Linked DNA regions of Oryzias latipes. Each later gene encodes a partner of the first gene's protein in a complex. Links are inferred from orthologs where the notes say so. Each region holds a gene or a part of one and is shown in the gene's direction. Other genes may lie near its edges.

Region 1 (4,272 bases):
TACTCATAGTATACTTTACACTGAAAAAAGGGACTTTGTGAAAAAAACCTAAATAAAAAGAAAAACACTGGCTCTGATATCTTACCACCACTTTGTTTTTATTTTAGAAATGATTTTTAGAGTTTCAAGATTGCTGATCTTCATGACCTAGCAAAAGCGGAAGTTCTTTGTCCAAAAACGGATCGCCATATTTCATATATAAAACAGTCAAACTTAGTGTGTTAGATATTACTTTAAACTTTCCTTGATGTTTTTATTCATAGACATTCCAGTGAGAACATCAAAAACAATAAAGTAGTGGTTTTGATTGCCTCATCACTGAACTTACTCCAAATGTTGTCCGTATAAACTTTGTAACTACTTAAACTTCTTTTATACACAACAAATACTTAATCTTAGCATTTCTATTTTTCTTGTCTGATAGGTTTTCACAAATACATTGTCACAATCAGAAAGTGTAAAATATCATGCGCTTTGACCTCAACTGAATCCAACAATGTTTGCAGTTCTTTGCATGTTCTGCTTGTTCCACGGTCTTCTGTGTGGCATTCATTCTTGGCGTTGTTTTGCTGGCTGATGAAGTTTTCTACTGTTCCAAATTTTAATTTGTCTTGATTTTAGTGCAGCTAATGATGATTAATCAAATGCTTTGCTCTGCCCTTTGTGAGTTGTGTATCTCTGACACAGTTTAGGACTTGTTTAAATCCAAACTATGTGAATAAATGTTAAAAGCATCCCAGCAAAAGAATGCATCCAGCTCTAACTGGATTTCTCCTGGTGGCCTTCTCAGCTTATTAAACATAAGTGAGCTCGATCAATTGCTCACTTGTTTTTTTTTTCTCACTGTTTAATTGCTGAAGCCATAGAACATCCAGTTAGGTTGTAACATTGTCCGTCTAACAGGTTTATTCTGCAGATTCAAGCCTTTACAGATTGTCCAAAGGTACTAAATGTTTCTTCAGCTGAAACAGGCATGTGACTTGACATTTCAGGTCTCAATAATAACTTCCTCTGACTGCCTTATTCTAAGTCCTAACATTTGCCTATAAACAACCCTTACTAATTATTGCTCTCTTTGCCAATGAATAGCAACTGGTGCAACATGCAGCAAAAACGTAATATGCTAAACTCTTCAGTTCTGGGATAAAAAATTGTGAATTGATCCAACCGGTGTTGACATAAAAAAAAGTAGTTTTGAACTTTTTATTTTATTTTACAGGACTTAAATTAGAATGTAATGTCTTGACATGTGTCCTGCTTTAGAAAAAAGCCGGTTAAGAGTTTAATGGTTTGAAAACAGTAAACAGTTCTATTATTATTATTATTATTATTATTATTATTATTATTATTATTATTATTATTATTATTATTATTATTATTATTATTATTATTATTATTATTATTATTATTATTATTAACAGATTTTCTAAATTTAGCGCGTTTGCTACTTAATGCGATTTCGATATTTTTGACAACGGCCGGCTACCATAGACTGCACGTATATGATTGGGTAGTTCGCGGGTGTCGTTGAAAACAGTCGTTTGCTAGACGTAATAGCAGGTGAGTGGAATGTAAACCAAGCCATTTACCTCTGCTTGTAAAGCAAACATGCGTTTAGCCTATTTACATTGCAGATACAATTGTTTAGAAAATCTTAAAGAACCTCCGGCATTATCTCTACAGACATTAGACAGTTAACCCCGTCAGTAGCCAGATGGTTAGCTACGCTAGCAGTAGCAGCTAACGTCTCCCGCTTGCTCAGTGATTTAATTTGTTCATTGATGCTTATTTCTGTAGTTCAGCACGTGGTTGGAAAAAATGAGAGTTGGGCTTTTTATGTGGTATTTTAGCGGAAATAAAACATCGTTTTTTATGTATTAAATCCACGCTATTAAACATAAAACTAATCATGGAGGACGATGGCGATGCTAGCACAAGAAACTAAAAGGCTAATATACAAAAACCTTTATTTTTCAGATCAAGCAAGATGAGTATGAGAAAACAAACGCCGAGTGACTTCCTTAAGCAGATAATTGGTAGACCAGTGGTGGTCAAACTAAACTCTGGTGTGGATTACAGAGGTAAAACACCTGGCGTGCCAGGCTCAGCCGCACGGTTCTCCTTTATTGTTATTTCTAAATGTCTGTTAAGGAATGAGACTTTAACCAAAACTTTGTTCCTGTTTGCTATAACTTATGCAGGTGTTCTGGCCTGTCTGGATGGTTACATGAACATCGCCATTGAACAGACAGAAGAGTATGTTAATGGACAGCTCAAGAACAAGTATGGGGATGCCTTTCTGAGAGGAAACAATGGTAAGAGGTTACATTTTTACAATAAAAATACTGATTAAGCCTTCTGCACATAATGACGTTAGTCAAGGGGGTATGCCTTTAGATTATATGTTTTAACTTTACACTGAATAGTAGGTATGCATAGTCAGTTAAATAACCCAAAATCATTGGTTAATGATATTTGACCTATTCATCATAGTTTTAATTTATTTTTAAATACAGCGATGTATGTCTGAAACATGCAAATATGGTGAAAATATTTACATTGCATAAGGCATGCCTAAGAACTCATTTAAAGAAATTGGAATTATTGGTCAAGTTTAGGTGACTATGGTAGAGAGATGTGGTTTGGAGTTGTTTCTTTGCAGAAATGATTAGGTAAAAGTAGCCTAATCAAATAGATTTAATGCATGTCTTAAACCAGGGGTCGGCAACCTTTACCACTCAAAGAGTCATTTGGAGCCGTTTCCCACAGAAATGAAAGCACAGGGAACCGCAACACAAGGGGTGTTAGAAATAAAGCGTTTTGCTTTTGAAATGTCGCAATAGTTCATTTGACAATACTTGTATTGATTCAAAATGCTGTCAGGATATTTATTTAATTATTTATTTTAATTATTTATGAGCCTTATGTTTCCTTTGATCTTTTGTCCATTTTACACAACCTTGATCTTGTGCCCCTACGAGATTACCGCTGACTGTCTTTATAGAAGAACTTTCCATCCCATACCAGACTCTGGTCAGTATTCACATGTGCAGACACGCCCCCTCCGCGTGCTCACGCTGCGCTCTTCCTCCTGACCGCTCGCGCTACCCGACGGTGTTAAAGGCTCTACAACAATCTTAGAACATGATAGGTATTTTACAAAAATACAGACAGTCGCAGCACAGGGATGAAAGCGGCTCCGGAGCCGCAGGTTGCCTACCCATGTCTTAAACCAACAAAAAACTATTTGGGGAGTATTAGAAAAAAGTTGACAATTTTGCTAATAGGAACGTTTCAAAGTGATAGAAATGAATCTTAACAATTTTAAGTGCATGATTGATTTATATTGGTTTAACCAAATGGACAGTAATGACACAAATTTTTAAAGGTTTAAGGCAGTACGAAGCAGGATGATCTATAGGTGTGACACAAAAACGATCAGATGCAGATTGTTTAGGAGGCAAACGAATAGAATGGGCTGGCTAAAATATCTTTAACCTCTTAAGACCTGATGTCCACATGTGCGAACATCACATATTACCACAGTTGTTAATTTTGCTTAACTGGGGCCCTGTGACTATGTGTAGAGGGTTATCTCAAATATTAGCTCGGGTCTTAAAAGGTAAAACTATCACCTTCCCAGTTTATCTGAGTTTTTTCTTTTGCATATGGAAAATATATTAAAAAAAAGACTTTGGATACATCTGTAAATGGCATTTCTAAAACTGCAGTAAATAATTTCACTTTACCTTTAAAAATGTAAATTCTTTCACTAACTTATACCATCTGCTGTGAGATTTCATCTTTAGGTACACAAAATCTGTGTTTGGGGAATATTTGAAATTTGTTTGAAATGTTAACCACTAATGGAGAGCTAGCCTAGCATATTCTGACACAACACAATCAAGGAAACCTTACATAATGATGTAAGCTTTCTCTTTTTTGTCCTTTTATTTTCTAAAGAAACACACTTTATTCCTATGTGTGGACAACACAAAAATCCAAAAAAATTATATAAGGGCAATACCAATGTTACTACTTCATCTGCAGAGACAGCCTAAGCACTAGAGGTGTGTATTGGCAAGAGTCTGACGATACGATGCGTATCCTTATATAGTACCGGAGCACATTTTCTTTCTTTTTTAAAAAGAAAATGACTTAGAAAAATATCTGACTTAATTTCAATATGTCTTTCATTGTAAAAAAATGGTCAAATTCCATTTAATGATCACAATGTTGAGCACTGCAACTGTATCTCATATACAAGTTGCT
Region 2 (4,242 bases), on another chromosome or scaffold:
TACCCAAAAAGATGTGTCACAGTTTCTGAATGATCTCCACAGAAACAATCAGTATTAATATCTTTTTCAAATTTTGTCAAGTATTGTTTTGCAGGGTAAATTTTATGGAGAATTTAAAAAGACACTTCTTTCACCTTATTTATTGTTAAATGTTTATGAGGGATCCTCCACACCACTTTCCAGTTGTTACCTGGAACAAATTGATTACAATAATTTAAAATATACTATGTCACTTATTTATCAGTGTTTTTAAACAGCATTAATGTTCCTGATGGTAGGGCATTCTGCACCATTAACCCTTGTGCTATCTTAGATGACCCCACCCTTGCATTGACGTGTTCTCCCTACCATGACAAAGATGGATAAAGGTGGAAAGATTTCATGTAATCCATGGACACCAGTGAGGTTCACAAATCATTGAAGAAAAAAGGTTCAGCGCACTGTCTAGTGGGTCTAGATGACCCAACTCCCAATGTTAAAGTGCCTAGGATAGCACAAGGTTTATGGACTCTTGTAGACTGACAGGAAAATTATATAGCGATAAGGACACATTGTAGTTTAGCAGCTGCCCCTCCTTATTGAATAGCCGAGCCACCAGCAGGGTCCTATTCTGTGTCCAGGTCTCCAGGTGGAGTGATCTTTTTTTAAATGAAAAAAATCTGTTAATCCAGATGAAATATTTGTGTGGTGAAAAAGGATACTTGAAAATTAGGTTCCACACTAAGAGGACCTGCTAATGGAAAGATGAGAGTTTTACTGGGAGTTTCACAACATTATTGTTACAATTCAAAATAAAATTAAAGCCTCCAAAACTAGAGAAAAAAATCTGTAAATGGTATAATGTTCCAGATAGCAGTGGGGTTCTTAAGAAAAATTTTGGCCCTATTAATTTTAACATTATACTGCAGATAACATCTACTGAGCAGTCCTTAATTGCAAATAATTCACATTACTTTTAGTTTAAGTTTAAAGGGTGGGGTTATGAATGCTTTTGTTCTTCCCACTCATTTTCAAGCAATAAATCAAGAAGCTCTATTTGACATTAATGAATACTATATTTATTTAAGCAAATGTGACAAAAGCGAGTCTTTGTTTTAATCTATGTCTTTCATCATTTCTGTAATTAGTTTGTCAATCTGTGTGATTTAAAAAAAAAGTATTGACTACAGTTAATGCTTGAAATAAAAATAAATCAAATAAAATCAAATTACTTCCTCAAGCGTGAGAAGGCTCCCACAATAACTAATTTCCTCTTCATCAATAGTTCTGAGGTTTTGGATATTATTAAGTAACAAAGAAGAACTGTCCTCATAGTGTCCATTGTTTTTACAGTCCATGGTAAAAAGCGCATAGCACTGATTTTCATTCTTTCTTTCCTTCTTTTTGTATTCATTCAATAAAGTTTGAAGGAAAAAAGCGCAAGTATTTCGCTGACTCCGGCGAGCCACCGTAGACTCTTACTGCGCATGTGCGTGGTTTTCAAATGAGTGGCGTGTGAATTCAACATTGCTATTATTTAAAGTTAATAAGTTGTATGTATAAAATATCACTATGTCTGTTCAACCTACAAACCCAAACAATCCAATCGTTTTCTTCGACATCACCATCGGCGGTCAGGTAAGTGAGCTTAAAAGAAAAGTTGAATAAATGGCTAAAATTTGTTAGCTAAGGCTTAAGGGTAACTTGAAAATCGACTCAAATATATAGTTATTCTTTACAGAGAAAGAATAATATCATGTAAACTGCGCGTGATACGGTTTGCGTCTGTTTATTAGATGCATCCTTATAAATAAAAGTAGTTTTTGTGTGGTGAATCATCATGTGTCTCTGTCTGAATTTCACCGTCGTATTAACAAATTAAAGTCCGGTTTAGACACTCTTTTAACAAACGACGTTTTATTTTTTTTATATTTTTAAAAGCTTAAAGTAATGTTTATACAGCATTCCATTAGATCCAACAAAGACTACACAACATGTTTGGTTTTACTTTTGCTTATTTTCTAGCTTGTTTAATTCTCTACTTAACTTAGTCTGTGAGAGTCTTTCCGTCTGTACTTTGATATCGCAAAGCTTTTTTTCCCCTAGATCCATTGTGTTTTTTTTGTTTTTGTTTTTTTAACTTAATTCAGGTGAATCAAGTAATCAGGGAGTACAACACACATTTCCAAAGTTTAATATAATACTAACGATGCCCTTTCTTGCTTGCTATCTATCAATCTGTCTTTTAAATATGGCAAATGGCGTATACTTATATAGCGCTTAGCTACCTTCTTCAAGGCCCAAAGCACTTTACAGTCGCAGACCCAGTCACACACACATTCACACACCGATGGCGGCTCCGCTGCCGAACACTGGCGCCAACCTCCCACCAGAGGCCAGGTGGGGTTCAATGTCTTGCCCAAGGACACTTTGACTCATGGGTGTGCAAGGCGGGAATCAAACCTGCAATATTACAATCATGGGTCGACCGCCCTAACGCTGCACCATGCCCGCCGTAGATAGGTACCTTGTATTTAATTTACTGCTCTGGAGTGGGGTTGTATATCTTTCCGTCTCAAATGAATTGATGCGCATCTCGATACATGGTCTATGAATTGATACATAAAATATTCAACTAACTTTCCGGTACAGTCCAATTTCTTTTAATCTAAAAGGATGACAAATGACTAAATGGAAAACAATCTAGATATTTATTATTCATTTGGCATATAACATAAGGGCTGCACGATGGCACAGTGGTTAGCGCTCTCGCGGCGAGAAGACCTAGCTGGGAACTCTCTGTGTGGAGTTTGCATGTTCTCCCCGTGCATCCCTTCCTCCCACAGTCCAAAAACACGCTTCATAGATACATTGATGACCTTCAGCTTACTGTAATTAACCTGACTTGGTAGAAATAAGCTTGTGACTGGACGTTCCGATAGAGTAAAGCACAAAAAGAAGAGAAATTGACAGAGATAAACCGATTATTCCTGATCAATTTTATACCTCTATTTTAACATGATCTTGTTTGTATCTGTGATTCTCAACTGATATGGCTGTTACACTCATAACTTGATTAATTTCTTTTATACATTTCTGTATCCTTTACGTCCACAAACATGTTCTTTTTTTTAAGACATTTAAAAACTCTGAAAAACTTACGTGCTTCCTTTTTATAAGGCACGTTGATCTTACAGACTTCCAAGAACTCTCAGGTCCCAAAGGTATTTTCTTTTAACTGTCCCAAATGAAAGCAGCATAGCAAACAATGAGGCCTCATTTGCAGTTGTTGTTGATTTTATCGGCAAAAACAGCCTCCCCCAAGACATTCTGCCTCCGCAGAAATCATTATGGACAGGTTGGACTGACCTTTTTTACTTGTGTTTTTGTGCCTTGCTTCATCAATTTGGTGTCTCCTGCCTTATGTTTTTATTTTCCCCTTCAACGCGTCCTTGCTCCAGAGAATGATGATAGTTTCAGTAGATGTGTTTTTGTGGCTGCTTCTTTAATATGTGTCTAAATTGAGCTGTGACGGTGTGGGATTTTTGATCACCGCGGTGATGAACCAGCAGGGGGCGCTGCGTTCTTTTTTTTTTCATCCTCTGTTATTTAATAGGTTCCGATGAGAACCATTTCCCCGAGAGGCCACAAAACTAGCAAATATGTTGTAATTAACTAGCAGTTAATCTGCTTCTCCAATAGATTTTTGTCAACAAACAACTTATTTTCTCATCTGGATCTGGATGTTTTTAGACAAAAGCTGCATGTTTATACTGGAATGTCTTGCCACATTTGAGACTTTGTTGTTTGCTAATTCCTCATTACATATTAATAATTCATTCATCATGAGGAACTTCAATTTTCTCAAAATTCTCCATTGTTGTCCCAGAACATTGTTGGGAGTCGTGGCGGTGACGCAGGTGTGTAATCCAAACTTTAATCAGAAACCTAATACTCAGCCCGTTAGTTTTTTTTGTTTTTTTTTTTTATATTATTTTTATGAACCTTGCTGACTGCTTGCTGACCGTAGTCGTTAGCACAGGGTAACCGCTACAGGGACGAGCAGCTCGCCTGGTTCCGACCCGTTCCTGGTTCAGACCTGGTGACAAAAATACAACAGCTGGTCGACAGACGACCCGGAGAGGTTCTGCATGATGAGGCTTTTATTCACTTCTCATTCAACCTCATTCAACATGAAGAACTTTCCATCCTATAAGAGACTCTGGTCTGTCGCAGACACGCCCCCTCCGCGTCTTCACGCTG
Region 3 (4,282 bases), on another chromosome or scaffold:
CTTCCTGTTCTTCAGAGCCATCTTCTCACCAATTACCCATTTGCCCTGAGCTGCTGAGCAAGCAGAAAAACAGTGTTAGTCCACCTGAAATTCTCACTGATTCTCAGTGAAGAGCAGTATAAACAGGAAACAGTGTGAACTGAGCGTGGAGCCTGTTTGCGGTGCTGTCTGAGCTTGTTGCAGGATCTCTTCCATCACAAAGCCATGATGTAGCTGAGGGTGGAATGGGCAGTACCACTGCTCTGATCTGCCTCCCCTCCCACTGACAAATCCAGTATGAAGAACTGGATCGTCCTGAGAAGAGAGGAGGCGCACACCTGTAACCCTACAAACACAACGCGGAGAATAGCAGCCTCACAGGACCAGAGGCTGTGTATGACATCACAAACAGAACGTCTGCAACCCATTTAGTTACATTAACCAGTCTAAACTAGTGATGTTCAATAAATATAGTTTTTTCCCCAAAATAAAATAATGACGCAATAAATCACAACCGCTGCATCATTTTATCTTTACTTAAATAGCATTTTGCTTTTTATTTTCCAACACTTGGTTGGTATCCTGTATACAAGAAATTGTTATTTTTAATAAAAAAAATAATAATTGAAAAGCAATTTATTTCGTTTTTCTGCTTTTTAAGTCCACCTATTATAATTTTAGACTGTTATTAAAACGATTTCTTATCTTTAAATGCAAGACTTTGAAAAGAGTAATCAATGAACATAAAATAGCCTTTTTTGGTCTGTTAGTTTCAATTAATAAATCGATTAATTATTTAGTGTAATCATTAAAAATAAATATTTGAATAAACTGCAGATTACATTTTAGGAATATATTCTCTCTTAAAAGAATTTTAACGGTTTTCTCACTAACGGAAAGCTTCATTATGTGTAACTATTTACATTTCATTTCTCGTTTACATTAACATTTCGCATACGGAATATTTCTAAACAGACCCGTTAGACACTGAATTCCCAATAACAGCTTTACTACCACTCAAAACGCTCTGGAATATTAGTGTAGACAGGACAAATACCTCAAAATGAACAGATATTTATGAATTAATTTACCTTCTCGCTGCTCTGCGCGGATGACACGACAGTGTCCTGTGAGGACAGAAAGCTCTGGAAAACGCTAAAGGACGGTACTGGATAACGTTGCCAGGTTTGAACATACACGCAACGCGTCGAGAGAAAGGTGAATTTCTTTTCTTTATAGTTTAGTCTTTTCAGTTGTTTCAATTTAAAAGTGGCAGGGATGCAACAAGGAGATGTTTGTGTTGTATTTAAATTTTAGGTAAGGACTATGTATGGATTTACACATACTTTAAATTTAGTCTTTTAAGGATGGATGTTGATACCATAAGTTTTAATAATAAACATTTCACATTCTCAAAGTACGCATAGATATATATTGTAAACTAATTATTTGTATAAAATTCAACTTTGTTGAACTGGAAATCGAGGGATAATTCGAAACGCACGTGTGTGTTGCCGTTTGAAATCTTAATTTCACCGGACCTGGCAACCTGCGTACCGGAATCGACGCGCGCATGCTCGAACAGTATGGCGGACGAAGCTGAGCAGGTTAGCGGTTCTTTCGCTAATTATATGTTTAACCTTACAACGAACGAACAGAAGCCCACTTTGCTTCTAAAAGTGCAGACTGCGCTGCACGCTGCATTATTTTTAAAGTGCTTTAAGGTTATTACAGGAACGTTTTTGACCTGTTTGGGGCCGTGGAAGCGGCTAACCGAGTTAGCCGAATTATTAGCCTTGGTGTTCCTGTGTTTCAATTGAACGCAAATGTTTGGTTTGAAACACAGTTCATTGCTTTAGTGCTAACCAGGCAGCTAAATAGTTTATACAGGAAGGAAAGTTTGTGTAAAATGTGTGGGGAAAACAACAGCTGTAGCTCCAGCCGTCGAGGGCATGCATTCTGCTGTGTTCATTAAACGGCCTTCTTCTGATTCTGGTTACCTCAGGTGTGTTTTGCTAATCAACAGCAGGCAGACTAGGACACCTGCCCTCGAGGACTGAAACTTTACATTTGAGGTTTCTACTCTCTGAAACGCTTGGCGTTTCTGGCTGCCGGCCGCTCTGGGAGGGGGGGGGGCGCCTACCGCGGCCGGCTGGGGGGCCGGTCGCTCGGGGGAGCCTTCTCCCCCGGTTGTGCCCATCCGCCCGCTCCTCCCCGCTCTCACCCAAACAAATATTGCACACAGGCACATAGGGCCCCGGGATCTGGATGGGAGGGGTATGCTGGCGGGGCTCACTGGGGATGCCCCTCTCTGGGTTCTCGTTGGCACCCGCCCTCCTCCCCGCTTTTTACTTGCATATTAGACACTCTGATTCATCTAGGGCCTTGTGGAGAGGGTCTGGTGGAGGGGGGCACGGTGAAACATCCGTGCTCACCTTTCGCTGGCCCCCCCACAATTTTAACTTCCTCTGTAGACACACACACTGCATGCTAGCAGCACACACACAGCAAATACACACCACTCACAGAGGGACTCCGGAGTGGGGGGCTTTGCGGCTTGGCAGCGGTGGAGCCCCCCACACTGGTGACCTCCTATTTTACCTGCAGCACACACACAGCACTCCCACACCTCCATACATGGGTGGGGTCGGGGGGGGGGGGCGGCCGGTCTTCACCCGCCTGGTCCTCTCAGGGCGGCCAGGCTTATGGGTGTCCTGTCGGCTGCGGGAGGGGTCGGGCATGCGGCGCTGGGGGTTGGCCGGCTGGGGGGGGGGGGGGGGGGGGGGGGTTACTGCTTGGCGGCGGGGGTAGGGAGGGTAACCAGATGATTGTGAGTATGTGTGTGTGAGTGCATGGGTAGGACCGACCTGGGGGCTGGCTCGCTGGGACCCTCTGGGGCTTTCCCTCCCAATCACAGAGAGGGGAGGGCACTGAGAGGGTTGGGGAGGGGGGGTCAGATATTATGGCGGGGGGGGGGTTGTAGTGCGTCGGGTTTTAGGGGGGTGGCTGTGGCTGCGGGTGCGTGGCGATCCCTGGGTTGCTAGGGTCGCGTGCCTGGGCTGGCTTGCGGGGACGGGGCGCTGGTCGGGTGGTGGCCGGCTCATGGGTTCCGGGGCCCTGGCTTCGTCCCTGGCCTTTGTCTCGGTGTCCGGCGCCCGGTGGCCCCCATGGCTGCCGCCTGGTACGGCTAAGCGCTCCTGTCTTGTGGCCTGGGGGCCGGACACTGGGTTCGCTTGTGCCTCTGGGCATTGGGGGGGCCCCTGTAGGGGGGCCCTCTCTGTGCCTGGCTGGTGGGGTGGGCGGTCCCCTCCTCCTCCCCTCCCGGGCTGCCTGGGTCCGGATGCTGGGGGGGCTTCTGGCCTGGGGGGCTCTCCTCCCCTCTCCTGGTCTGGCTGGTCTGGCTGGGTAGGATCTGGCTCCCTTTATGAACACACGGTTCACGTCGGCAGCATGCATGTATCTCCACCCCCACGTGCACGTGCACACTGCCACACTGCTCCCTGTCTGCTTCATCCCTCCTCCTTACCTACAGTGTATTGATGGACAGTTTTTTTTCCGCTCATCTTAGTGTCAGATTTTGACCTTTGATGTAACATTCGTCTTTCCAGCAGATCTGGTATAATTGTTACAGCTTAAATTAATAACTTAGTCAAATCAGTGCTTGTATCCCCCACCTTTTCACCTTTCTTCCTTTTACTCTCTTCCACCCTCCCCTCACATTCTTCCCCTCTCCCTCCCCACACACACTAAATGTAACAAATAAATAAAAAATAATACGACAAAAAGGGGTTTATACAAATCTACACTCTAGTTTCTTGAAGCTATATAACCTCTTTTTGTGATAGTAAAACCTGTCCAACACAAAAAGCCTTCAGCTCTAATCTGTTTGCTCAGAAGTTGGACAGAACAAGTTAGAAAAAAAAAAAAAAAAAAAAAAGATTAGTAAGCAAACTGACTTTCATTCTAATCACAAGGTTTAGAATTTTTAGTCACCAAAATGTTTTTTTTTTGTCTTTTATTTTTATTTTTAATGCTATACTCTTAATTTAACAGTTCAAACACATTCACACAGGTTACCCAAACGCCAATACATGTAATCTGCCTTCACTTGTTTTGCTGAAACCCATGAGATTAGTAATGCTTTTATATTAAACATATATAAATGTCACAAAACAGTCGTTTTTGGTGTCTTAAATGTAGGTTGGATGTTTCAACATTTTATTTTGATTGCTGAATTAAAAACTGTGAATCACAAGTTGATTTCTGTGTTGTCAAATTGTGTTGAGATGGGAAAAAAAGTAGT
Region 4 (3,110 bases), on another chromosome or scaffold:
AAAGTATAAAAAATAAATAGATACATATATAAATATATACTGCAACTTCCAGCTTTTTCTGCCACAATTGACACAAAAATGGATGTGAGATTGTGGAAGGCTGGGCATGCTTTTACATTTCAACATGTTGACGAGCCTTTTCTGCTCTCTCCCATAAATACTCCTGTGGAGAAAATATGTCTGTCCGTTATCCCAGAAGAAACATTATTTCAAATTAACATTGCATCTCTACCTCAGAGCATGTCTTATTGGAATATGTTTGCTGATGATATTGCATGGAAGGAGGTTTGGCAAACCCCTAATAAACGCTTGATCACCAATTAAGTAAAATAAGCTACTTTTAGGATTATCCACAGAATTTACCCAGATACAATTTTCATTCAAAAAAGATTAGATGAAACATTGATACATCTGTAGTTTTTGCTGCAATTCCCCTGAAACAGACATCCATCTTTTCTGGAATTGTCCTCAAGTTAAAGTGCTTTGGTAGAAGATTTGTGATTTCATACATGACAAAATTGATTCTTGTTTTGTTTTATTCTGGAAACATGTTTTGTTGGATCTTATATCAAAGGATACACAAAAGGACTCTGGTTGGCTTTTAAATCTCTTGCTCATGTTGGCCAAACAAAAAAAAAACAGTTACAACTTTTTTTAAATTGGTGGGTTTTTATATTATGTTCAGACCCCATTTTCTTTGTCTTTCACTTTTTTTTTAACTTTATTGACAATTGAGGTATCATACATTAAATAACGAACAATAACCATGTAATCAACATTACCTTGAAGATCAATCACCATTGCCAAACATAACATATTAACAAAAAAATAAAGAATAGAGAAAAACAAAAAAACAATGAACATAACACACAAATAAATAAAAACGAATAAGTAAAATAAAAATAAAATAAAAGAACATAGATCCAATCTAAATAGTCTAATACTAGTTAGGGGTACTCGTGAAGTTTGTATTTCTGAACAAAACAAAGCAATTTCAAGTCATTCTTCTTTTTCATATAATGAAGTGATTTGAAGTAAAAAACAGAGCTCTTTATGAAATGTTATAAAAAGTGTTTTGGTCTTCAAATATTTATTTTTGTGTATATAAAACTTTCCTTGCAACATCTGGATATTAAGAACACCAAATAGAAATTTTTCTGCGTGTAAATGAACTGGCATTGCAATTTTGGAAGAATACCAAAAGCAGAATTCCTCCCAGAATGTTTTTATAACTCCTTTGTCTTACACCTAAACAAACGTTGCTGTTCAAATAAATACTCCACGTTCGATTGCTTTTGCCTGCTGGACTGCGCTCATTTGTCGATTGGTCGGGCCTGTGCGGAAGCGTGTTCGTCAGTAAACATGGCAGCCACCCAGGGCACGAACCCGTCCCAGCTGCTCCCACTCGGTCCGTAAGCTTTAAATTAAGCCCGTTTTCTATCCGGGGTCTGACGGGGATTCACGCAAAACTCCGGGAAGTGTTCATGCGGGGGTCAGAGCCGGGGCCGCTGCGTGGTTTGAACGGTCTGACAATGGCGGGCAGGAGTTAGCAGCTAATTGTTCGTTAGCATCGAAACGCTCATGCTGTTAAAACTACGTTAAAGAATGACACTTTTTAAGTCTTTGGGTGTTTGTCTGATTGTAATATATTTAATTCATCGATTAATATGGTCCTGCCGTAAAGGGTTCGTAGTTGACGCGCTTTTTGAATTGCATAGCAATGCTGCAGCTAGCCGCTCCTTGCGACCGTGTTGCTAATTAGCCCAAAAGGAAACGTTTTCACCTCGTCATTCATTATCATTAATATTATTAGGATGTACTACTCTTAAGAGATGGTTTTCCTTATGTTGGATGCCTTGCGTAAACTTTATTTTAAACAAAAAGTTAAGTTACAGACACCTGTTAAAATATAAAATCAGTGTGGTTTGTAGACTGCATGCATGAAACTGAAATAACTGTTCTTCTTTCTTCAGAGCTTGTGGACAAATGCATCGGCTCTCGAATTCACATCGTCATGAAAACAGACAAAGAAATCGTCGGAACCTTGTTAGGTTTTGATGATTTTGTCAGTATCCTTCATCGATATTTTGGTATCAGTGTTGTGCTGTTTCCCTGTTTGGCCCACAGCCGCTCCTTAACTCTGTGTCAGACATGGTGCTGGAGGATGTGACAGAATTGTAAGTATCTTGTTTTCTTTTTTTTTGTGTACTTGGGGCTTGCTGTTGATGTGTTTTTGTTTTTCCAGTGAAATCACACCGGAAGGCAGGAGGATAACAAAGCTGGATCAGATCCTCCTGAATGGAAACAACATCACCATGGTGAGAAAGCAGTCGGTGGGAAGGATGGGGGGGGTGTCGCTGACCGGATCTCTCATCAGAATGGTTCTCTTTGCAGCTCATCCCAGGTGGAGAAGGCCCAGACGTGTAGATGTCAAGTTTTCTAAATGTACATACATCTTTGGTTGTTCTGGATTGATGTTAGTTTGCGGATTTCTCTTACTGGACATTTTGTTTTTAATATTTTTTAGTTTTGATTCTTTAAGGTTTGAATGAATCACGTCAAGGACAGAAAAGCTCTTTTTGTTATAAATAAACCAGATGATTAAACACAGTTTGATTTACAAGTTTATTATTCATAGGTTCACTTTAGTGCAATTTTCTTTCCTGTTTTTAAAAAGTGTTGGCATCCAACAGCAGTAATAACAGCTCACGGTTCATGAAGTCTAAATCTAAAGTTGCGCTCCTCCAAAACGGCGTACCGCTGCCGCCTCAGTACATGGAGGATTTCTCCTCTCCTTTTGGGTTGGTCACCTTTTCCAGGTTTTTGTTGATGATGTCGTACAGCTCGGCCTGAGGAAGTGAGAAGCTTGTTTGAATGAAAAGGTAATACACTTTAGCTATAAAACACCCCTAAAAACACATTTTCTTATATAAAACTAGGAATTTAACCTTTTTTTTGGTTAAAACCTTAAATACTTTCATTAAAATCCTACATCTGAGTGGAGGAAGATTTAAAAAGAACTTGTTTTAATCCAAGTAACTTCTTTTTTTTGTAAACCAAACAATTTATGCTACAAGAATCTCCAACTAAAAGTGAGCAAAAGTGTCTGG
Region 5 (3,936 bases), on another chromosome or scaffold:
GCTGGTATACAAACTGGAGACCAGGTTTTTTATGTAACTAGAGATGATAACAGTAAAGTGAGTTTTCAGAGAAAACCCCTGGATGTTTCCTCAATCAGTCAGCACTAAGGTGGCATACATTGCCTTGTACAGATCTGCGGTCAGGGCTGCACTGTGACAAAGTGGTTAGCGCTTTACTCTAAATCTGTGCATGCGTGGGTTTTCTCCAGGAGATCCGGCTTCCTCCCACCATCCAAAAACATGCGAGTGGCCGGGTAAGGCTCTGACAGCCCCATGACCCCGAAAGGGACAAAACGGGTTTACAAAATGGATAGATTTGCCATCAGTGTTTATGCCCAGACAATTCAGAGAGCAGAGACCTTGAGGTGAAAACTTGCAATCCCTTTATCTTCGTGGTTTCCGACCAAACTCTTCCCTTTAAGACAACTTACTGCCTCTCTTAGATTTCTACATAATTTGGGAGAGGAAATGAAACAGCAATCTTCTTTCATCCAATTCACCAAACGAAAGTCATAAAAGAAAATGAATTAATTTCAAAGGTAATGTGGTTGACAGAAAGAGTTCGGTAAATTTTTAACCTCTGCTGTGCTGTTCACTTCTTGCAAATAAAGAATGACCTTGTGCCTTTTGGGATATTTATTTGTACAAATATGTGGTTGAAAATGAAAATTGTCATTCGTGTCATTTTAAACTACGATGAAGCCAACCTGTCGCAATAAAGCATTAACTTCCCGGTACCAAAGAAATATAATTACTAATTTTATTTATGTAAAAATTAGCTCAAAGTTGTTGTTTTTTAATAATCGAGCGAACAAAAAATCTAAGTTGACAACAAGACAAGTCAGCAATGAATTTGGTTAGCTTATAATTTCGTCCTCTTACGGTTTGTACCGTCAGTTCAAAGACAAAAGCTCAGACATGAACAGTATAGGCGTTTGTCGTGGTAGAACGATAAGGAAAATCACGCAAAAAGTATCTTAAGTCTTGAAAAAAGGATGAAAATATTACCTTTCGTGTGGTTAGCTGAACTCAGATTGTTGTACTTCCGGTGCATTGTCGCTGACAACGTCTTCATCAGCCAATCACAGCAGGAGATGGATGTTTAAACCAATCACACAGCTCATACTCACCGGAAACACTTCATCCTGATTTCTTCGTTGGTGCTACGCTTTTCTCGTTTCCCATGAAGGCGCAAATAGTCATTCGGTAAACCGTAGTCACAAACAAACTTATTTTTGTCGATTATTTGCAATTATTTCGGGATGATTGAACCAAAGAAAAGAGCGGGAGACATGGCGGTAATTCCCACCGCTGTGAAGCGAGCCCGGAACGAGCTGGTGGCGGCGGCACAGTCCCAGCAACTCGTGGCTACGGTACGAAAAGAATCAACGTTCACACAAAAAAACTCAAATTAGAGAAAATATATACACACGGGTGTTGACCCGCATTTGTATTATGCATGCTTTAAATGATGTAATCTAAAATTTACTCAAACACGACATTTTTTGTGGTGCACCTATTATTTCTTGACGTAGAGAACACATGACAACGAATAACAACACGAGTTTTCGCTAGGATATTTAATTTTTGGATGTAATGTTGCTTCTTTAAAATACGTATTATATTCGAAATCCCGTTGTTATCAACAAACTGATGGTAAAGGAACCTTTCCCAGTTATGGGTGTTTCCGGGGTGAACCGTGAACAGGTTACAAATCCTAGGCTAATGTTATGATAGAAAATTAAAAAATGTTATTTTTTTTATTAAGCATGAGTTTTGTGTATTTAAACCTTTTCCAGTTTGTAGATGTTTTTCTGTAAGTAGATATTTTGATTATTGAGACAAAACTATAGGATATTTAACAGGATAGATACTAAATCTTTTTTTTCTATTGTAAAAAATAAATAGCTTTTAAACACTGGGGTTTCATTTTAGCAATCATCTTTTGATGTTGCAAAAATCTGCATGACATATCACCTGCAACAGTCACATTCACAGTCACCCATGCACACACACATTCACACACTGATGGCGGTTTCGCTCTCTTACTGGCGCCAAACTATAACCACCAGAAGCAATGTGGGGTTCAGTGTCCTGCCCAAGGACATTTCCACACATGGGTGGGCAAGGCGGGAACCTAACCTGCGATATTCATGATCAGGTGGACCGCTCTGCCTCTGCACCACAAGCCCCTGCATGGAAAGTGTGCCACCATAGGGTGCAGAGGCAGAGCGGTCCACCTGATCACAAATATCGCAGGTTAGGTTCCCGCCTTGCCCACCCATTTGTGGAACCTAACCTGCGATATTTGTGATCAGGTGGACCGCTCTGCCTCTGCACCACAAGCCCCTGCATGGAAAGTGTGCCACCATAGGGTGGCAAGATCCTTTGTGTCACATGATCAATTTGATCCTTTACAAATGATCCATTTCCTCACTGGTCTGCTGCAGATTTGCATTAAACTTTGTGGACTTTACTCTGAAGCGTTCTGTGGCACATTAAGCCCAAACGCACTTTTATTTATCTGTCTTTTATCACATGCCTGTTTTCTTTTTAGATTTCACTTGGACTAAATCTGGAAGAAAAAAACAGAAAGTAAATTAAACTGACCTTTCTCCTCCAGGGTCCTCCTCGGACCTCCAGCCTGCAAGCTCCCATCATGCTGATGTCGGGCCACGAGGGCGAGGTGTACTGCTGCAAATTTCATCCAAATGGAGCCACGCTGGCGTCTTCTGGCTTCGACCGACTCATATGTAAGCAAAAAGAGGCAAGCTGCCGTTCTCCCGGCCTTCTTCTGTTGCTTTGTTCCTCACTTACTTCCTTTACCTCAGTTCTGTGGAACGTTTTTGGGGAGTGTGAAAATTACGCCACCCTGAAGGGCCACAGTGGAGCTGTGATGGAGCTGCATTACAACACAGATGGCAGGTAGGAAGAAAGCTGTAGATTTTATCTTTAAACTTCACCTTTAAATTGACATTTTTCTTGTTTTAGGTTATGTTTACAGTGAAAGTAAAGCTCATATTCTCATTGTTTCTTAGTCTTAGTTTGATTTCAAAAACTAAGGAACTTTATGGAACAAAAAAAATGTTCATCTGTAAATTTTAGGACTTGGAACTATCTACATTTCTTAAATAACCTTTCCATAAAATTTGACTGGATCATTTTTGTGCCTCCAGCTTGTTATTTTCGGCAAGCACAGACAAGACCGTGGGCATTTGGGACAGTGAAACAGGGGAGAGGATTAAGCGCCTGAAAGGTCACACTTCCTTTGTTAACACCTGCTACCCAGCTCGCCGGGGGCCACAACTGGTCTGCACCGGCAGCGATGATGGGACGATAAAGGTGTGACATTTTTATTTTAGGTGCAGTTATTTATTCTGAATGCTTCAACTGTTGAGGTCCCATTCAAAGTTTTTAAATGTTGCTTTATTGTATTTTTGTTAATCGTCACTGCAGTTGTGGGACATCCGTAAAAAGGCGGCAATTCACACCTTCCAGAACACCTACCAAGTTTTGGCCGTGACGTTTAATGACACCAGCGACCAAATCCTGTCTGGAGGCATCGACAATGACATCAAGGTATTTGGATTGTTCTAAAAAAAACAACAACCAGCAGAGTGTCCTTGGTTTTGTTTTGTAAGATTAACAGGAAGTCTGAAATCTCAGCTGCTACGTGGCTCTACTGTAGATGGCAAGAAAAAAGTTTGACATTTTATAAAAACTCAGTGTTTAAGGTAAAAACTTTCTGACATTTTGAAAGAAAAAAGAAATCAGTGATTTAGTTGTTTTCAATCCGTTTTAAATAACACATTTTATTAGTCTGCCATAAAGCTTAAATCAACGTTTTATCATGTGTTTGCCTTCATTTAAATGCACCAAATAATCTGATTCTACTTAGATAAAGACTAACATGTGAAAAAAAAAATTTCGGTTTCA
Region 6 (4,198 bases), on another chromosome or scaffold:
AGTGTTACATTTCCTCTAAAAGCAGCAAAGTAAGAAATATGTCAGTCTTACGTCTCCGTCGAGGATGGTACACCTGGATGTCAGGTCGCCGAGGCTTTTTGGGGGTTGTGGTGCGCCTGTGCCGCTGAAGCTCTTTGGCTTGCTTCACTTCTTTATCATAGTCATCTCTTATAAAGAAATTGAAATATTTTCTGATTATTTCTTAAAAACATAGCAAGTTGCACAGTTGAATAAAACACAGAGCATCTTGGTCATGGCCATGAACTTAAAAATGTTCCTAGGTCTGTTTACACATTGGAGGATAATACTTTTTTTAAAATTTTATTATTTTAAGGCAAAACAGCTTTGTTTTTCATACATCAAAGCAATTTAAAGAGCCGCACAACAAAGCAACATTATTATTGCTGTTCTTTTAGCTTTATAGTTCATCTTTCAAAGTTGCCTAAATAAAATCAACATGTTAAAAATCCGTTTTAAATGATTAAATAAAGAGTGAGAGTGTGGGAATTAAAACAAACTTTTTTGTTTGGACGTAAATCAAAATACTTATCATACATTATTGTAGCAGCTTTTTTTAAGACCAGACAGAGAGCAGATGCTGTAAAACAGCCCAACTCAGCGTATGTAATTTATCAAGGAGGAACTTTAAAAGTTTTACACACCAAACCTAAGTTTATATAATAATCCACTTTTAAATAATAAATTACACTAATAAAACATAAACCGAATAACTTAATGCTCCTTTTAAAATTTCAGTCAGTCCAATAGGGTTTTGCTTCTACTGCTTTAAAGTAAAAATAAACTTGACTTTAAGCCTTTTAGGTACTTTAAAAAAATGTTATTTCACTGTCTGCCATTTTTAAAAAAATCATTTCACATCAATCATGAAATGACAGCAGCTACAGATTGACATTTGACATCCCAAGTAAGTATGCTAACTCGGCTAACAGCAAAAAGGAAATCACCTGGCAATCTGGTTCCTCCGAATATGATGAAGGAAACCGTGGCTCATGTCCAGACGGCCCCCCGGTTTGTACTTCAGCTCATGCACTCCTTCATCTCTTATAAGATCCATTTCAGCAAACACTCTAGAAAGAAAACACAGCTAAAGAAGAACAAGCAAAATACTAACAAAAAGCTAGACAGCTAACGATGTATAAATGGATGTCCAACCGTAGCGTTCCCGGAGTTTCTACAAATTAATTTATTGCGTGTAAGTCCTACAATGCACATTGAACTAAAATATAAACTATTTTGGTTATATTTCTGTGACAAAAAAAGAAACTGAAGTATACAAATAAATAAAATATATTACTTAGAGTTTACATGGGGGTAAACATTTATTTTTTAAACTCCGGGTTACGTTTTGGTTTCCCACGCCATTACCACCGACGTACAACCACCGCGAGTTTCGAGGAGCTGAATAATATCCATTCATTTCCTCTCGTAAACCTTCAAGTTTTGTTAATTTTTGTTTCGTTAGCAAACCGTTTGCTAACTTATAGTTACAAGAATGTCTTTAAAGCGTGAAAGGGAGGAAATAGAAGACGACGAGGATAACGAAGACGAAGGTATGCTGATTTGTCTCTTACGTCCGTTTTTCGTTTTGTTAGCCAGCCAGAAGAGCATTTTCTAGCATAAAAAGTTTATATTGTGTCAGTTCCATTCTACACCAATAAACTGATGGTTTCACATGTAAGACAAAGACAATCAGCATATAAAAATATATGTAAAACCTGTTTATTTTAAAACAGAGATCGATTAATAGAAAAATCTTAGCTTGCTAGCAAGCATGTTTTGATTGCTAGTAGTTAGTTGTTCTCGTAAAAATGAATTCCGTTTACGTCTACTGAGCTTTATCGTGATTTGCTCTCTTTTGCAGTGACAGTCAAATTTAGGCGAGGACGTGTGGTTGAAGACCGAAGAAGCCGCCATTGTCCTTACCTGGACACCATAAACAGGCAAGGAAATGTTTGAAAATGTATGCTAAAGCTAGTTAGCATTCTTCTTGTAATTCAGTTTCTTCTCGTCTTGCAGGAGTGTTCTGGATTTTGACTTTGAGAAGCTCTGCTCCATTTCTCTGTCTCACATTAATGTTTATGCCTGTCTTATTTGTGGGAAATACTTTCAAGGTAGACATATTAGCACATCAAACGCACATTGTTATTTTCCTTTTTAGATGACACTAAACATCTTTACGTTTGCATTCCTTGTTGCAGGCAGAGGTCAGAAGTCTCATGCCTACACTCACAGTGTCCAGTTTTCTCACCATGTGTTCCTCAACTTGCACACACTCAAGTTTTACTGTCTGCCAGACAACTATGAGATCATTGACTCATCGCTAGAAGACATCACAGTAAGTAATGCAGTAAATCTGCTGTTTTTCAATGTATAAATGAAAAGGTAATTGCTCTGGGGGGAAAAGTAAACAGTTACATGTTAAAATTAAACAAAGTTTTTTGTTTTTCTTCTAGATATGATTGATAGATTCTTTTGCTCACATTCCTTGTTTGTCAGTGTAACACTTCAATAGTTTTCATTAACATATTCTGTGTTTAAAAATAGTTTTAACTTGTGAACCCAGAGTACATAAAAATGTGTTCGATATTTATATATTTTATACAAGGCCAATGTATTTGATTGCATAGTATATTTTATTTACTATATTTTGCACATAAGTATCAGTACTAGTATCTAAAAATAAGTTATTTAGCAATGTCTTAAAGTATACTTTTTAGAGTTTTGGCTGTAATTTTAATACGTCTTTTTTTTTTACATTTCTTTTTTAAATTTTTAATGTTTTATGTTAAGTAATTTTTACCCCTCCTTTTTTTATTTTTTGTAAGCTCTTGCTTTGTGTTGGTAATCTTGCTCTTTTTTTCTTTAGTATGTGCTGAAGCCGACTTTCACCAAGCAGCACATTGAGGGTCTGGACAAACATGGTAAACTGTACAGAGCCTACGATGGTACAACCTACCTGCCAGGGATTGTAGGGCTTAATAACATTAAAGCCAACGACTATGCCAATGCTGTACTACAGGTATGAAACCCCGCTGATGTTGATTTTTGAGGCTGTGGCATCAACTTAAATAACAGGGGGTTTCATATTGTACTTTTGTTTTTAGGCTTTTTCCAACGTCCCACCTTTGCGAAACTACTTCCTTGAGGAGGAGAACTACAGAGACATCCGGAGGCCACCAGGGGACATCATGTTTCTGCTGGTGCAGCGGTTTGGGGAGCTGATGCGCAAACTTTGGAATCCGAGAAACTTCAAGGCCCACGTGTCGCCCCACGAGATGCTGCAGGCTGTAGTCCTGTGCAGCAAGAAAAACTTCCAAATCACCAAACAAGGTAACTATTTTGTGGCCTGTGGAGTGCTGACATAAATAGGGCCATGTAGGCTGAGATTTTGGGCAAAAACCTCATTCCATCAATGAGAGCACTAAAGATGAAACATGGCTGGATCTTCCAACATGACTGATCCCAAAAACATAACTCTGGCATCAAAGAGAATCTGTGGAGGGAGTTTAAAGTATGTTTCTCAGCAAAAGCCTCAAAACATTACAGCTCTGCATGGAAGAATGGTCCAGAATAATAGCTATAGTGTTTGTAAACCTGCTTAAGACCTATGTTTGACCTTTGTCATAGATAATCATGGTTACATTACAAACTATTGAGGTGAACTTTTGTTGTTGACCAAATTCTTATTTTCTGCACTATTATACAAATACATTCTCTAAAAATCTGACAATGTGATTTCCTGGATAATTTATTGGACATTTTATCTCTCAGTTGAAGTATATCTATGGTAAACATTACAGACCAAACTCAGCTTTTTGAGCGGGACAACTTGCAGAGTCAGTGGCTGCCAAATACTTTTTTGCCCCACAATCTTTAACTCACTGGATAAGTTTGTAGAGTTTGCTCAATGTTTTCTGGTTTGCAGGTGATGCTGTGGACTTCATGACATGGTTCCTAAACGCCATGCATGGCGCTCTTGGAGGCACAAAGAAGAAGCCATGTGAGTCAGAAATTCACTCCTAGTTTATAGTAAATCTGTTGAATTTCTGAATTCATTTATTTGATGTGTAATTTTCTCTTTTATTCCAATGTAAGGAGTCTATTTTAGAGCCAGTGCTGGTTGTCTGCATGCAATGTCCTTCAATTTAACTGGTCTGCTCTTTGTTTTCACACAGCA
Region 7 (4,067 bases), on another chromosome or scaffold:
TTGTAATGTTTCCTTATTTTCATGTTTATATTATTAGCAGTCTTGTCATTCTTTATCTTGTTTAATGACCGTTTATGTAGCTTAGCATGACAGAACAGTTGCTCATCAGTAAATAAGACCATTTGCTTGTGTATTTGTTAATTTATTTCATTTTCTACTAATAGCCATCAATCATGCAGCTGAGGTCCAACTAGTCCATTTGTTTAGTCTGTTTAAATGTTGGTTTAAAATTGTATTGTTTAAAAACTGGGTTTCAAAGGGGAGGATGTACAATAAAAACTACAAAATGTGAGCCTCTTATCCAATACGGGTCATGTCCCAGTCATTGTTCATTCGTTCAAATACCTCACCAATTTGTTGCAAGGGCAGGGTCCTTTCTGAGTCCCTATATTGTGTCAATTAGAAGTAATATTTAAATATGTTCTACTGAAAGCAGAAGTCAGTTACAGAATAAAATGTATAAAATAGAACAGTTAATAAATATAAGTCTAATAAAGTGGGAAACCACAATTGGTCAAAGCATAAACGTCCATTGATAAAGAATTTGTGGCCCATTGTTTTGTGAATGAAATTTTGATTGTAAAGGTAATTGTCTTATTTCTATAAAGTTTTTGTGTGCTATGGTGAAGTATCATAATTTATTAAAATTGTTGTAAAAAAAAAAAAAAAAAAAAGTTAACCAAACTCTAGTTTCCTGAATGCAAGACTGGTACTTTGCTGCCATGTATGTATTATATTTTGTGTGTAAATATTTTAAAACGCAATTTAAATATAAAATGTAAAGTTTTTAAGTTCTTACTTTGTCCCATCACTTTTGAATACGTTTTTTTTAACAGTTTGTCACAGAAACTTACTAGTCATTTATTTAGTTATTTGTTGTTGTTTTTTTAACTTCTCTTCCTATTATGTACAGGTAGCTTTTAAGGGTCTAATAAATAATATAAAATAAATTAAGAATAGAAAAATATTTTTAAAACAATATTTTAAGAACTACAAATAAAAGAAGAGTTATAGTAAAGTCATTTTCGGAATACTAGAAAAAAACCTGTGTTTTTATTTTGTGGCCTGAAATGTAACTCCTTATTCGAATAAATATGTATTTAGTTGCGACCTACTACACATTTTTTAAGAGAAGGTAATTAAAGCAACCAAGTAAACTCATAAAGACCGAACATTCATTTTTAGAAAGAAGCCCGTATGTTATTTTCTCATCTCTTAAGGAAAGGGGATACTTACCCATAATCCCATGCGGAAATCGTGACGTATTTATTCTGCGACAAACCACCCGGATCGTGAGCTTTATGTTGTAAACAGGAGCAAGAAGCCGCACAAGTAGCATTACCTATATTGGCTTCTATTAGAACCCTTCCTGTCTAAAGTGACTTTTAAAAAAATATAAATATATTTTTGTTTTGTTTTACTTCATTTTGAAAGTGCGACGTAAGTTACTATTTTTCAGTGTTGAATGACGTTTGGTGAACGTTTGCTAACTTTAGCTAGCTAACACAGAATAGCAGACTGATATCAGTTTTTGTTTTTTTCAACGGGATGTTTATAAAAAATAACACTGATAGACTTTCGTTAGATCTACTTCCTTTTGAAAATAATTGCAATAAACACAAATTTAACAACTGCCCACACTTTTACTCTCGTTTAAGCTGAAAGATGCATTGTTAGAAGATGGATCATGAATTTTACTCTGATTGCAGATGTCATTGGCTGACGAGCTTCTGGCTGACCTGGAGGAAGCTGGAGATGAGGGGGAAGATGGGCTGTACCCAGAGGGGGAGGAAGGAGGGAGTGATGGAGAGGGGGCTTCAGGGAGGACAGAAAGACTGGAAGATATCCCCGAAGAGATGGAGGTGGACTACAGTAAAACTGACAGCATTACGTCTATCGCCAAGCTCCGCAATAGCAAACAGGTCTTTGTTTAGCTGACTCTCATAAAGAGTTCCTTTTTTTCACTACCTGAAGGCAGTCCCTTTTAACTGCTTGTTTTCAGTTTTCAGATATAATTGAAAAAATATCTGGATATATTGGAAAACAGCGCAAGAATTCAGATGGTGAGTGTTGAAAAAATGTGCATTTTAACAGAAAATGTTACTGATTTACTTCCATTTCTTTTTCTCCTGTTTACCTGTATTTTCTTTCAGTTTCAGGACCAGTTGAGGCTGACCCAGAATACAGGCTGATTGTTGCAGCCAACAATCTTACAGTTGAAATTGACAATGAGCTTAGTGAGTTGGACTTTTATTGTGCGACAAAACCTAATGAAGAAATTGGATTCTTTCAACTGAAAGTGTGAGGTCTGTGTTTCTCCTGTCTTTTCAGACATCATTCACAAGTTTACAAGGGACAAATACTCCAAGAGATTTCCAGAGCTTGAGTCTTTGGTTCCAGATTCTTTAGATTACATTCGCACAGTCAAGGTTTGTTGATCTTAAAAGATAAGTTTGGAGACGTTGAAGTTACCGGATATCAAATTTTTGATTTTGTTTTTCTTCTATTAAAAGAAAAGATTTGCTGAATGGTTTCCATTATTCTGCATAGGTTTGTTTTTTTCTTTTTGCATCTAACCTCTAAATCTTCCCCCTTTTTTTGTTGTAAATGTGTGCTTCGTATAAAGGAATTGGGAAACAACCTGGAGAAATGTAAAAACAATGAAACCCTGCAGCAAATTCTAACCAATGCCACCATTATGGTCGTCAGTGTCACTGCATCAACTACACAGGGGTAAGTTTAAGAATGTTGGTACTTGTGTCCTATTACAATAAACTTTTTTTTTTAACATTTCCATTATTATGTCTGTTGTTTATTTTATTTACATAGACACTCCCTTTATATATTTTATTGTTTTCCTCTTAAGGTCATTGCTAACGGAAGATGAGCTGAAGCAGCTTGAGGAGGCTTGTGACATGGCTCTGGAGCTCAACCAGTCAAAACACAGGATATATGAATATGTAGAGTCCAGAATGTCCTTTATAGCTCCAAACCTGTCAATCATTGTGGGAGCATCGACTGCAGCAAAGATCATGGGTGAGGAAGTGAAACTATCTAGAAAATATCAAGTTTTTTTATGCCCATACATTTTTTTTTCTTACTTTTGAATTTTTTTCCCTGTTTGGCTGAAGGCATTGCTGGAGGCCTAACAAACCTCTCAAAGATGCCAGCCTGCAACTTGATGCTGCTGGGAGCCCAAAGGAAAACTCTGTCAGGCTTCAGTAGCACATCGCTGCTTCCTCACACGGGCTACATCTACCACTGTGATGTTGTGCAGTCATTGCCTCCTGTCAGTACACCATATTCAAGAATAACAAGTACCTTTTCCACATCTAATGTTTGTTTGCCTTAGTTATCTCCTTTCCCCTTTTGTTCTCCCCCCTCAGGACCTTAGGAGGAAGGCAGCTCGTCTGGTGGCCGCGAAATGCACTCTGGCTTCTCGAGTAGACAGTTTCCACGAGAGTCCAGATGGAAAGGTAAACATCTCAAATTAAAGGAACATTCAGAAATATAATTTCTGTCTCTGTTATTCAACTCCCTTTGTAATGCAGGTTGGCTATGACCTAAAAGAAGAAATAGAGAGAAAGTTTGATAAATGGCAGGAACCTCCACCAGTGAAGCAGGTCAAACCACTGCCAGCCCCGCTGGACGGACAGAGAAAGAAGAGAGGAGGAAGGAGGTCAGTCACTTATGGTTATTAGTATTTGATAGAATTGCCTGTAAATTCATCAAAACCTCTGTTTGTATTATAAATATAGTCAATGGCTTCAAAACTATTTAAGGAATTTTATAATTCTCAAAAACTGCTCTTTTGCCAGAGTTCTTTTAAAAATATGCTGCAATGTAATTGTTGTTTTAAACATCTTTGATATAGAAATACTTTTGTCTAACAAAGAACTAACTAAATGGAGAAATACAATTATTTGGACAGCCCTACTCAGTTCATTTTTGTCCAATTAGTTTACTTTGAAGTATTTTGTAATATCTTAAACTGCAGTACAATCAATTAATCTGCATAATTGTGACAAATGTTGAATTTATCACAGATGTAATGTTTTAGTGAAAGA

The links.
Region 2: lsm6 (region 1) and ppih share a complex: the UniProt entries of both Homo sapiens proteins name them as parts of the U4/U6-U5 tri-snRNP complex. The link is inferred for Oryzias latipes from reciprocal best matches to the Homo sapiens genes LSM6 and PPIH.
Region 3: lsm6 (region 1) and lsm3 share a complex: the UniProt entries of both Homo sapiens proteins name them as parts of the precatalytic spliceosome. The link is inferred for Oryzias latipes from reciprocal best matches to the Homo sapiens genes LSM6 and LSM3.
Region 4: lsm6 (region 1) and lsm5 share a complex: the UniProt entries of both Homo sapiens proteins name them as parts of the precatalytic spliceosome. The link is inferred for Oryzias latipes from reciprocal best matches to the Homo sapiens genes LSM6 and LSM5.
Region 5: lsm6 (region 1) and snrnp40 share a complex: the UniProt entries of both Homo sapiens proteins name them as parts of the U4/U6-U5 tri-snRNP complex. The link is inferred for Oryzias latipes from reciprocal best matches to the Homo sapiens genes LSM6 and SNRNP40.
Region 6: lsm6 (region 1) and usp39 share a complex: the UniProt entries of both Homo sapiens proteins name them as parts of the U4/U6-U5 tri-snRNP complex. The link is inferred for Oryzias latipes from reciprocal best matches to the Homo sapiens genes LSM6 and USP39.
Region 7: lsm6 (region 1) and prpf31 share a complex: the UniProt entries of both Homo sapiens proteins name them as parts of the U4/U6-U5 tri-snRNP complex. The link is inferred for Oryzias latipes from reciprocal best matches to the Homo sapiens genes LSM6 and PRPF31.

What each region holds. Positions count from the first base shown.
Region 1 is NC_019859.2:18,489,126-18,493,397, forward strand, and holds the start of lsm6 (U6 snRNA-associated Sm-like protein LSm6), read left to right. Parts: upstream 1-1,472; 5' UTR 1,473-1,560; intron 1,561-1,977; 5' UTR 1,978-1,987; coding exon 1,988-2,081; intron 2,082-2,201; coding exon 2,202-2,315; intron 2,316-4,272. UniProt on the Homo sapiens protein: Plays a role in pre-mRNA splicing as component of the U4/U6-U5 tri-snRNP complex that is involved in spliceosome assembly, and as component of the precatalytic spliceosome (spliceosome B complex).
Region 2 is NC_019865.2:7,776,072-7,780,313, forward strand, and holds the start of ppih (peptidyl-prolyl cis-trans isomerase H), read left to right. Parts: upstream 1-1,442; 5' UTR 1,443-1,551; coding exon 1,552-1,617; intron 1,618-4,242. UniProt on the Homo sapiens protein: PPIase that catalyzes the cis-trans isomerization of proline imidic peptide bonds in oligopeptides and may therefore assist protein folding. Participates in pre-mRNA splicing.
Region 3 is NC_019863.2:18,333,438-18,337,719, forward strand, and holds the start of lsm3 (U6 snRNA-associated Sm-like protein LSm3), read left to right. Parts: upstream 1-1,482; 5' UTR 1,483-1,565; coding exon 1,566-1,586; intron 1,587-4,282. UniProt on the Homo sapiens protein: Plays a role in pre-mRNA splicing as component of the U4/U6-U5 tri-snRNP complex that is involved in spliceosome assembly, and as component of the precatalytic spliceosome (spliceosome B complex).
Region 4 is NC_019878.2:23,647,139-23,650,248, reverse strand, and holds lsm5 (U6 snRNA-associated Sm-like protein LSm5), read left to right. Parts: upstream 1-1,289; 5' UTR 1,290-1,362; coding exon 1,363-1,408; intron 1,409-1,469; exon of another isoform or gene 1,470-1,484; coding exon of another isoform or gene 1,485-1,524; intron 1,525-1,973; coding exon 1,974-2,069; intron 2,070-2,149; coding exon 2,150-2,177; intron 2,178-2,245; coding exon 2,246-2,318; intron 2,319-2,394; coding exon 2,395-2,427; 3' UTR 2,428-2,610; downstream 2,611-3,110. Other genes in the region: psme2 (proteasome activator complex subunit 2), read right to left, coding at 2,769-2,849. UniProt on the Homo sapiens protein: Plays a role in pre-mRNA splicing as component of the U4/U6-U5 tri-snRNP complex that is involved in spliceosome assembly, and as component of the precatalytic spliceosome (spliceosome B complex).
Region 5 is NC_019869.2:21,982,921-21,986,856, reverse strand, and holds the start of snrnp40 (U5 small nuclear ribonucleoprotein 40 kDa protein), read left to right. Parts: upstream 1-1,136; 5' UTR 1,137-1,262; coding exon 1,263-1,373; intron 1,374-2,623; coding exon 2,624-2,753; intron 2,754-2,831; coding exon 2,832-2,925; intron 2,926-3,176; coding exon 3,177-3,342; intron 3,343-3,456; coding exon 3,457-3,579; intron 3,580-3,936. UniProt on the Homo sapiens protein: Required for pre-mRNA splicing as component of the activated spliceosome. Component of the U5 small nuclear ribonucleoprotein (snRNP) complex and the U4/U6-U5 tri-snRNP complex, building blocks of the spliceosome.
Region 6 is NC_019867.2:12,332,828-12,337,025, forward strand, and holds the start of usp39 (U4/U6.U5 tri-snRNP-associated protein 2), read left to right. Parts: upstream 1-1,398; 5' UTR 1,399-1,513; coding exon 1,514-1,571; intron 1,572-1,882; coding exon 1,883-1,961; intron 1,962-2,037; coding exon 2,038-2,132; intron 2,133-2,219; coding exon 2,220-2,356; intron 2,357-2,887; coding exon 2,888-3,040; intron 3,041-3,125; coding exon 3,126-3,351; intron 3,352-3,946; coding exon 3,947-4,021; intron 4,022-4,196; coding exon 4,197-4,198. Other genes in the region: c9h2orf68 (UPF0561 protein C2orf68 homolog), read right to left, coding at 52-167, 966-1,075.
Region 7 is NC_019874.2:19,364,284-19,368,350, reverse strand, and holds the start of prpf31 (U4/U6 small nuclear ribonucleoprotein Prp31), read left to right. Parts: upstream 1-1,267; 5' UTR 1,268-1,440; intron 1,441-1,709; coding exon 1,710-1,922; intron 1,923-2,002; coding exon 2,003-2,063; intron 2,064-2,153; coding exon 2,154-2,237; intron 2,238-2,331; coding exon 2,332-2,429; intron 2,430-2,626; coding exon 2,627-2,733; intron 2,734-2,866; coding exon 2,867-3,036; intron 3,037-3,131; coding exon 3,132-3,289; intron 3,290-3,386; coding exon 3,387-3,476; intron 3,477-3,551; coding exon 3,552-3,679; intron 3,680-4,067. UniProt on the Homo sapiens protein: Involved in pre-mRNA splicing as component of the spliceosome. Required for the assembly of the U4/U5/U6 tri-snRNP complex, one of the building blocks of the spliceosome.